Mus musculus: one gene and its partner. The protein of the gene in region 1 binds, or shares a complex with, the protein of each later gene. Links are inferred from orthologs where the notes say so. Each region holds a gene or a part of one and is shown in the gene's direction. Other genes may lie near its edges.

The links.
Region 2: Coro2a (region 1) and Gps2 share a complex: the UniProt entries of both Homo sapiens proteins name them as parts of the N-Cor repressor complex. The link is inferred for Mus musculus from reciprocal best matches to the Homo sapiens genes CORO2A and GPS2.

Annotation. Positions count from the first base shown.
Region 1 is NC_000070.6:46,599,122-46,603,412, reverse strand, and holds the start of Coro2a (coronin-2A), read left to right. Parts: upstream 1-1,483; 5' UTR 1,484-1,596; intron 1,597-4,291.
Region 2 is NC_000077.6:69,912,681-69,916,820, forward strand, and holds Gps2 (G protein pathway suppressor 2), read left to right. Parts: upstream 1-1,339; 5' UTR 1,340-1,659; coding exon 1,660-1,753; intron 1,754-2,071; coding exon 2,072-2,181; intron 2,182-2,252; coding exon 2,253-2,365; intron 2,366-2,458; coding exon 2,459-2,538; intron 2,539-2,627; coding exon 2,628-2,710; intron 2,711-2,950; coding exon 2,951-3,104; intron 3,105-3,184; coding exon 3,185-3,274; intron 3,275-3,352; coding exon 3,353-3,432; intron 3,433-3,517; coding exon 3,518-3,613; intron 3,614-3,739; coding exon 3,740-3,823; downstream 3,824-4,140. Other genes in the region: Neurl4 (neuralized-like protein 4), read left to right, coding at 447-651. UniProt on the Homo sapiens protein: Key regulator of inflammation, lipid metabolism and mitochondrion homeostasis that acts by inhibiting the activity of the ubiquitin-conjugating enzyme UBE2N/Ubc13, thereby inhibiting 'Lys-63'-linked ubiquitination.

The DNA of each region.
Region 1 (4,291 bases):
CCCCAGCCTTTAGGAGGTAGACAGGAGAATGAGTTCATGGGTTCTTCTTAGTTCATAGACAGTCTAAGACCGACCTGGGCTATGTGGGACCCTCCTTAAAAAAATTAATAAATGGGCTGGTAAAATGCCTAAGAGGGTGATAGTGCTGTCTCAGGAGCCAGGCAGCCTGAGACCTGTCCCCAGGAACCATGTAAAAAGCTGAATGCAGCCCTCCTACTTGGAGATGGGAGGCATCTGATATATTGCCCGATAGCTCAGGGACAGTCAGCCAGGAATATGTAGCATTGCAGAAATAAGATGAAAGGAAAGAACTAACTTCTGAAAGTTTGCACACACACACACACACACACACACACACACACACACTCGTTAAAAAGTGACAAAAATGTTTTAGATTACCATGGACCCTTGAGGGCAAAGGTCCAACTGCTGCGGTTGTGCGCTGTGTGCTTCTGCCAGTGCAGCTCCAAGCGGGATGCAGGGGGAATTCAGACGTGGGAAACCCACAGCTCTAGGAAGAAAACCGGCCCAGGGCCCTGTGGTTCAGCAGGAACTAGAGGAAGGCTTTAGCGACTGCTGTTCTAAAGTGATCAAGGACTCACCAGAGCTGAGTGTGGTGGTGTAGTCCTACAATCCCAGCTCCTAGAGGCTGAGGGAGGAAGATGGCTAGTTCAAAGCCAACCTAAGCAATTTAGTGAACTCTTGTTTCAGAAAAAGAGGAGAGGTCTCACAGTGTAGCTCAAAGGTAGAATACTTGCCTGGCAAGCATATGCACGGTCCTAATGTTCAATCCCACCATCACAAATCATACACACACACACATTAAATTTGTTATAGAGCCTACCAAGAACTCAGCTAAAGTCTCAACTTCTTGTCTATGAAATGGGAGTATTATGACTACATTGAAGGCGTTGGTAGATCAAATGTAATAAATTGTGTTCTTAGTTAACAATATATACAATACCTACTTTGTGCCAGGTACAGTGCTAGTCTCCCTCCTCCCCCCCGCCCCCCACCAAACACATCACTACAAGACACGAAGAACACTTTCCAAGACAGGTGGTGTGGCGTGGTTATTATGAAAGATATGACGTCCTATCTTCCATATTCAGTGAGCACCCGGCTGAAAGAGGGAGCGGCTTGGACGCAGCGCCCCCTAATGGCAGCAGTGGGAAGGATCTCCCGGATGCGCAGCCGCCCTCCGCTCTCCAGTTCTCCCGCCGCCTGCAGAGCTGCGGTCCCGGCGCTCGCTGCGGGATCCAGCTTCGAGCCATCTGGGAGGCAGGCGCGATGACAGTCTCCATCTCAGCAAGGGGAAACTGAGGTTCGGGACCCGAGTCCCACCCAAAGCCTGCGGCGAGAGCGTGTCGGAGGCGAGAGTGTGTGCACGCGGGACGGGAACCGAGCTGCGGGCGACGGGCGGCGCACAGGCGGGGCCTCTCCGTCCCGCCCCGCCCCGACCCCGCCCGGCCCGGTCCCGCCCGCCGGGCTGCGCGGGGAGGCGGCGGCACTGGGCGCGGGGACTCGGCGGGCGGCGCGAAGCGCGGAGCGGGAGCCGGAGCCGCCGCCGCCGCCACCTGCGCGGCAGCCAACAAGGTAGGGTGGGACCGGGCCGGGCGGGACGCTCGCTGCGCCCGGGCTGCGGCTCTGTGGCGGGAGGGATGCTGTCCCCGGCGTCGCGGAGACCTATCCTCCAGACCCCCGCACGATCTCACACAAAGCTCTGCCCCGCTCCAGTCCTCAGTTTCCCCATCGGGATACTGGTGCGGCCGCTCCCTCAGTGGGTGACTAGGAGCAGCGACCCCCAGGTTCGCGCTCCAGAGGTTAGGGGCCAGTCCTTACCGCCCGCGCCTCTTGCGGCGGTGAGCGGCCCGCCCTGGGCGCGGCAGCCAGTCTCGACAGGCCCCGGTGTGGCCCAGGTGCCCCGTGGACCCGAGTCGTGATTGTTCCTGTCCTGGCTGGGTTACCCGCGGGGGCCTCAGCTTCCAGTCCCGGGAAACGGTGGAGGAGGAAGCATCCCTGAGTCCCTGCCGAGGCGACCTGGGCGCGCGGGTGGGGCGAGCAGTCTGCTACCCAGACCAGGCTCATCGCCTGGAGCTGGAGGAGGAGCCCCGCGCTGGCAATGGCCAGATCTCAGCCTCAGACCTGCCTGGACCCGAGCCGAGCAAACACCCACCTGCATTCGGGCAATGGAGAAGGACGTCCTGGTCCGCGCCCTGGCCAGCTGCCGGAGCCCAGTTCTGCGTACCAGCCTGGTGGGACAGGGTTGGTACTACCACACTCGGTCCTCAGTCCACTTGCCAGGAAAACAGTGTCTCCGGGGGTTGGGGGACTGAGCATGTATCTAGGGGTGCAGTGACTCCAGGATCTTTAAAGACCTCTGGTGTAGGGCTGGGAAGTTCTATAAGATGCCTTTTGATGAAGGTCTTATGTTGCATTCTTCTCGAGATGGGGACTCTCACTAGCGAAACTGGGGAATCTGGTCCCACTGTGGCTGCAATCCTGATAGTGTCCCTTAGCTAGCATGTGGCCCTTCTGTCTCAGAGCCTGCTCTTCTGCGAATGCTCCAGGGACTTGTTCATAACCACCTGTGCCTCAGCACAGGAATGTGTCCTTACACGTCCCTCGCCTCCAGACATCTCTTGAGGGATGTGGAGGGAGAGAAAGGCTTAAGCCCATCTCTGGACACTTCTGCCTCATTTCCTGACATCTGTCCCCACTAAGGAACAGGCTCAGCACCTCCTGATCGCCTGTCTCCCTCTCCCTCACCCAAGGACTTTCTTAAGGCTAAAAGAGGAGACCCTTCCCTTTCCCCAGGCCAGCGCCGGTAGTGAGCCCTACGTCATCTAAGTGTACAGGCAGAGGGCTGGGTGGGCATCATAGGGTGCTGTGCGTTGCCAGGGCCAAAGCAGTGTGGCAGGGGACCTTGCCCTGTGGCCCCAACCTGGAGCTTCGCTGCAAATGAGTGTTATTATCCCCTCATAAAGGGAGACTAAGTATAAGTGTGGCTGCCAGAGCCCAGCGCCAGCTCGAAAGCCTAAGTACCACCTGAGTCCCCTGTCATTGGGAACGTTTGTGATCTGGGAGGCTACAGTGATGGCGCATGAGCAGGCAGGTCCTGATTATTACAAAGTCATCCCGAACTTTAAAAATGTACTGTGGAGTTGTGGATTCTCTGACCTGAAAGGGTCTCTAGAAACCATCTCATCCCAGGCCCTTATTCTAGGGGCAGTCTAGAAACCGTCTATCTCATCCAACGCTCGTATTCTATGGGCATATAATCACCTGTCCCAGGAGGGGGTGTGCCTGGTAAAGGCCACACAACAAACCAGCCAGGAATCCTAATTCCAAGAATGGGGTGCTTAGCAGCTAGGGTGCAGCTCAGTCGGCAGAGTTCCATCCCCAAAACCGAATCGACCGAACTTGGAGATTCACTTGGAGGATGGGGAATTCATCCACCAAAGCCAGGCTATCCTCTGCTACAAATGGAGATCAAGGATAGCCTGGGGTACATGAGACCCAAGGGGTGGGGGTGGGGACATAAAACATATCATAAATGAAACAGTCTCATTGCTTCGTAAAAGCAACAGGATATAAACATAGAAGGTTAAAAAAACCGTGCTGGTAGCCGGGTGGTGGTGGTGCACGCCTTTAATCCCAGCACTCGGGAGGCAGAAGCTGGCGGATTTCTGAGTTCGAGGCCAGCCTGGTCTACAAAGTGAGTTCCAGGACAGCCAGGGCTATACAGAGAAACCCTGTCTCGACAAACCAAAAAAAAAAAAAAAAAAAAAAAAAAAAAAACGTGCTGGCAAGGTTGCAAGCTTTTGCCTGAGGTGTGTCATTTTGTAGAGTAACCATAGAAACAAAAGTCTGTGAAATGGATCTACCTGCCCTTTGCTCCCAGGCCTCTCCTTCGGGGACTTCACCCCTGAGGAGGTCACTAGAGAGACACGGGTGTATTACTGCTATCCTGGAGTGTCCTGACAGTGAAGAAACATTCTGAGACTTCTGGGACACTGAAAAAAAGGCTAAGAGGCAACGGCAAGATAATACATACACACACACACACACACACACACACACACACATACATGGCCCAAGTGGTCTGGAGGAAAGACCGTGAGACAGGGTGGCAGACACAAACCCTGTCCCCTCTGTGATCTCTGGCCTGCTGGTTTCCACCTCAGTTTCTCCATCTGGGAAGTGGGCGTGGCCTCGATGGTGACTGAGTCTGCACAGCTCAGCAATGGAGCCTTCTACAGGAGGAGCAGAGTGCTCTGGACATCCAGAA
Region 2 (4,140 bases), on another chromosome or scaffold:
TCCTGCACCAGGCAATGGGTTTGACCCCTTGTACTACCTAAACTGTGCTTGCGCATTGTAACAAATTCCTGGAGTCCTAACACTAAGTGGCAGGGTCAGTGGGTCGGAAGTTTAAGGTTGTCCTTCCTTTATAGGGAGGTTGACTCCAGCCTGGTAGAGACCCTATACTGTCTCCCAAAAGTGGGTGAAGTAGATGAGAAGTGCACTTGGAGTGTTTGGAAGACGTGAACTAGAGTGCCAGGGTAAATAAACACATGAAGAGTGCTGGGGAGGAGTTAGCTGAGCAGGCCAGGGGAGGAGAGTACTACATACACAATAGTTGGTGCTAAGCCAGTCACGGTGAACAGTATTTCCCAGAAAACAGCAAGGCCTGGGTGGAGGGGGCAGAATTAGCAGTCATGGACCTTGGGAGCCTTACTCTTCTCTCGTTTCTGCTTGGCTAACAGATTCCGGGACCCAAAATCCCAGCGGACACACCAGGCTCAGGTGGCCTTTCAGGTGTGTGTGCGCCCTGGCTCCTATACTCCTGGCCCTCCCTCTGCGGCCCTCAGAGAACTTCCTGACCAGCACTTCAGCCCATCGGAACTTGAGTGGGTCACTAAGGAGAAGGGAGCCACACTCCTCTATGCCCTGCTGGTACGAGTGGAATAAGGGGTGACATACCACTACTCCAAGCACAGCCGGGCCTCAAGCCCAGGACTCTTGAATGACGACTGCCTCCACCTCATTCCCGTGACTGAGAGCATGTCCAGTGCTGTCCTGGCAAGGAGGAGCACGTAGGCAGGCTTTGATTTAGAGCAGGTGTGAAGCACATCTCTACATTCAGGGCCCAGCACACTCCCTCTGCTGAGAGGGAGCCCAGCTCGTCTCGGGGTCCCCCCTTCATGCACTGACTTGGGGAACATGACTCCCTATTATTACCCTCCCCCATATCACTTAATTTATTTCCGTTTTTGTTTCTGGTTACTGTGAATCCCAAAGGAGTCTCTCTGTGCCCACATGAAGCTGCTTTTTCCGTGGCCACTGGGCGCCATGGGGAGGGAGTGGGTAAAAGGAAGGGCTGCCCGAGGACGCTGTGGGCCTCTGTACAGTTGTTACTGACTCTGATTTCTAAGGAGCCAATAAATACTGTCTTCAGAGCATCTGCCTCCGCCTCTGTCTCCCGCGGCCTCGCGAGTGAAGAGTTCTAGGGGCTTTATCATCCCAGGCCGCTCTGTAAATCCACATGGAGTTTGGACATCCCGGCACCCGTCTCTAAGCGCTTCCGCCTTCCCTTTCCTCCAATCGGCTGTGCCGTTTGCCGTCGTGACTCCGGAAGGATTTATCCTGGCCGCCGGATATGACGTAGAGGCCAAGGCGCGCCGAAGGCCTCGGAGAAAGCGCCGACAAGGCGGGTTGCGGGGGTTGGCGCCAGGGCTACGAGGGAGGGGCGGGGGCGCGGAGCCTAAGACCCTCGCACGCGCCCCGGCGCTGAGGCAGAGACCCCGGAGGGACGCTGGTGCCCGGGACACGTGATCGAAGTGGCGAGCGGGCGGCGGACGGGCTTCCGCTTCGGCGCGTCGCAGTCTCTCTAAGCTCCCACTTCCCTGCAGGCCCCGCCTGAGGTCTGGCAGTCAGTGAGAGTCGGGTGCCCACTGCCCAAGCGTCACCAACAGCATCATGCCCGCACTCCTGGAGCGCCCCAAGCTTTCCAACGCTATGGCCAGGGCTCTGCACCGGCACATCATGATGGAGCGGGAGCGCAAACGGCAGGGTGAGCCTGGGCCAGAGCGGGAGGACAGACACTCGGCTCAGGGTGGCCCTGCTACCCACGAACTTGCCCCCATCCACGGGCCCAGCTGTGCGCCTGCTGGCGAGGCTAAGAGGGAGGCAGCGGCGCCTTCGGGGTGTGAGTGAAGAGGCCCAGTCTAAGTTCCAGACCAGAACCCTGGGCTGGGAAGGACCTTGGAGAGCACCTAATGAAGCCAAGTTCTCCCTGTGGCTGTGATGGAGTAACTGGTTTTTGCTGGTCTTCAGTCTAACGCTCAGCTTATTCACACCGCCTTGCCACTTCCCCGTTCTGATTCTTCAGAGGAGGAAGAGGTGGACAAGATGATGGAACAGAAGATGAAAGAAGAGCAGGAGAGAAGAAAGAAAAAGGAAATGGAAGAGAGAATGTCACTAGAGGAGACCAAGGAACAGGTAAGTAGCCTCTCCACACTTGTTTCTCGATGCCTTCTTTTCCCTGCTTTAGCTGCTCGTCCCTCTTCCAGATCCTGAAGCTGCAGGAGAAGCTTTCTGCTCTACAGGAGGAGAAGCACCAGCTTTTCTTGCAGCTCAAGAAAGTTTTGCATGAGGAAGAAAAACGGAGGCGAAAGGAACAGAGGTGTGATGAGATGGCTAAAAGTAAAATTGTGCAGTGGCACAGGTGACAATCTAATAGCAAGAGGCTAACTGACCTGTCTTCCTTCCACTCCAGTGACTTAACCACTCTGACATCAGCTGCATACCAGCAGAGCCTGACGGTTCATACAGGAACCCACCTCCTCAGCATGCAGGGTGAGAGGACTGAGGAAACCGCCTAACAGGGGAGTTCTCCAGGAGGTCGCTGCCTATTTTAGCATCGTGAAACCTCTCCCCCTTTCTAGGGAGCCCTGGAGGACACAATCGCCCAGGTACTCTGATGGCAGCTGACAGAGCCAAGCAGATGTTTGGACCACAAGTGCTTACGGTGAGGGAAAGGTTTTTTGATTTTTTTTAACTCTTCAGGCTGGCTTTTTAAGTTACTAGCCAAGACTAGTCTTGAAATCTGATCCTAACTCCATGTCTCCTCCTTCTGTGGATCAGTACTGTTAATCCCAATCATTCAAGAACAAATATACCAAGCATGTGTATGTAGGAGCTGAGCGTAAAGGCATATATATATACATATGGGGTTTTTCCTAAGCAGTGAGCTTTCATTTCCCCTTAGACCCGGCACTACGTGGGATCAGCAGCTGCTTTTGCAGGAACCCCAGAACATGGACAATTCCAAGGCAGTCCAGGGGGTGCTTATGGGACTGCTCAGCCCCCACCTCATTATGGGCCAACACAACCAGCCTATAGTCCTAGCCAGCAGCTCAGAGGTGAGTGTTGTTCTCCTCAGACTAGGGGCAAGAAGAGCAAGAGCATCAAACCCTAACAGATCATCTCCCACCTTCCTCAGCCCCATCAGCATTTCCTGCAGTGCAGTACCTATCTCAGCCACAGCCACAACCCTATGCAGTGCATGGCCACTTTCAGCCCACTCAGACAGGTGAGATCCCCCTGGGCAGGAGCCCTACCTTCAGGAGTCCTACTGCCACCTGCTCATTTCAAACTCTCCTCCCCTCAGGGTTCCTCCAGCCCGGCAGTACCCTCTCTTTGCAGAAACAGATGGAGCATGCCAACCAGCAGACCAGCTTCTCGGACTCAGTGAGTATGGAGTCCTGGGAGGCCAAGGTGCTAAGATGAGGGGAGCCCCAGGATGCCTCCCTTTAAGGTCAGCTTTGTCTCCTAGTCTTCTCTGCGGCCCATGCACCCCCAAGCTCTGCATCCAGCCCCTGGACTCCTGGCTTCCCCCCAGCTTCCCGTACAGATACAAGCAGCAGGGAAGGTAAGGCTGGCAATCAAACCTACATATACTACCAGGGAAAGACTAACCTCTTACTGTAACTGTCCCCTCCCCCTTGTGCTGAGTGCTGGAATACCTACCCACTGATAAAACTCTTATCATTACCAGTCAGGCTTTGCCACCACCAGCCAACCTGGCCCCCGACTCCCTTTCATCCAACACAGCCAGAACCCAAGATTCTATCACAAGTAACCACCAGAGAGCTCCAGCCCACCCTCCATCCCTCAGGCTGGGGTCTTATGTGCCCCAAACCAATAAAATGTACAAAATGTACCCACCATCATGCCTGAGTGCTGTTTATTTGCTTCCTATCCAACTGCCTAAACCACAAAGGCTACTATGAAGTCTCAGCATTTCTAGATTCTAAAAGTACCTTTCAATCAACAAATAAACAACTGAGTTGGGGGCTTCATATTAAACTTGTAGTTTTATTCAGGTTTGATTTTTAACAAATGTGTCAGGGAGAGAGCCCACAGGAAAGGGTAAAGCCCGTGGGGGCAAGGCCTTCC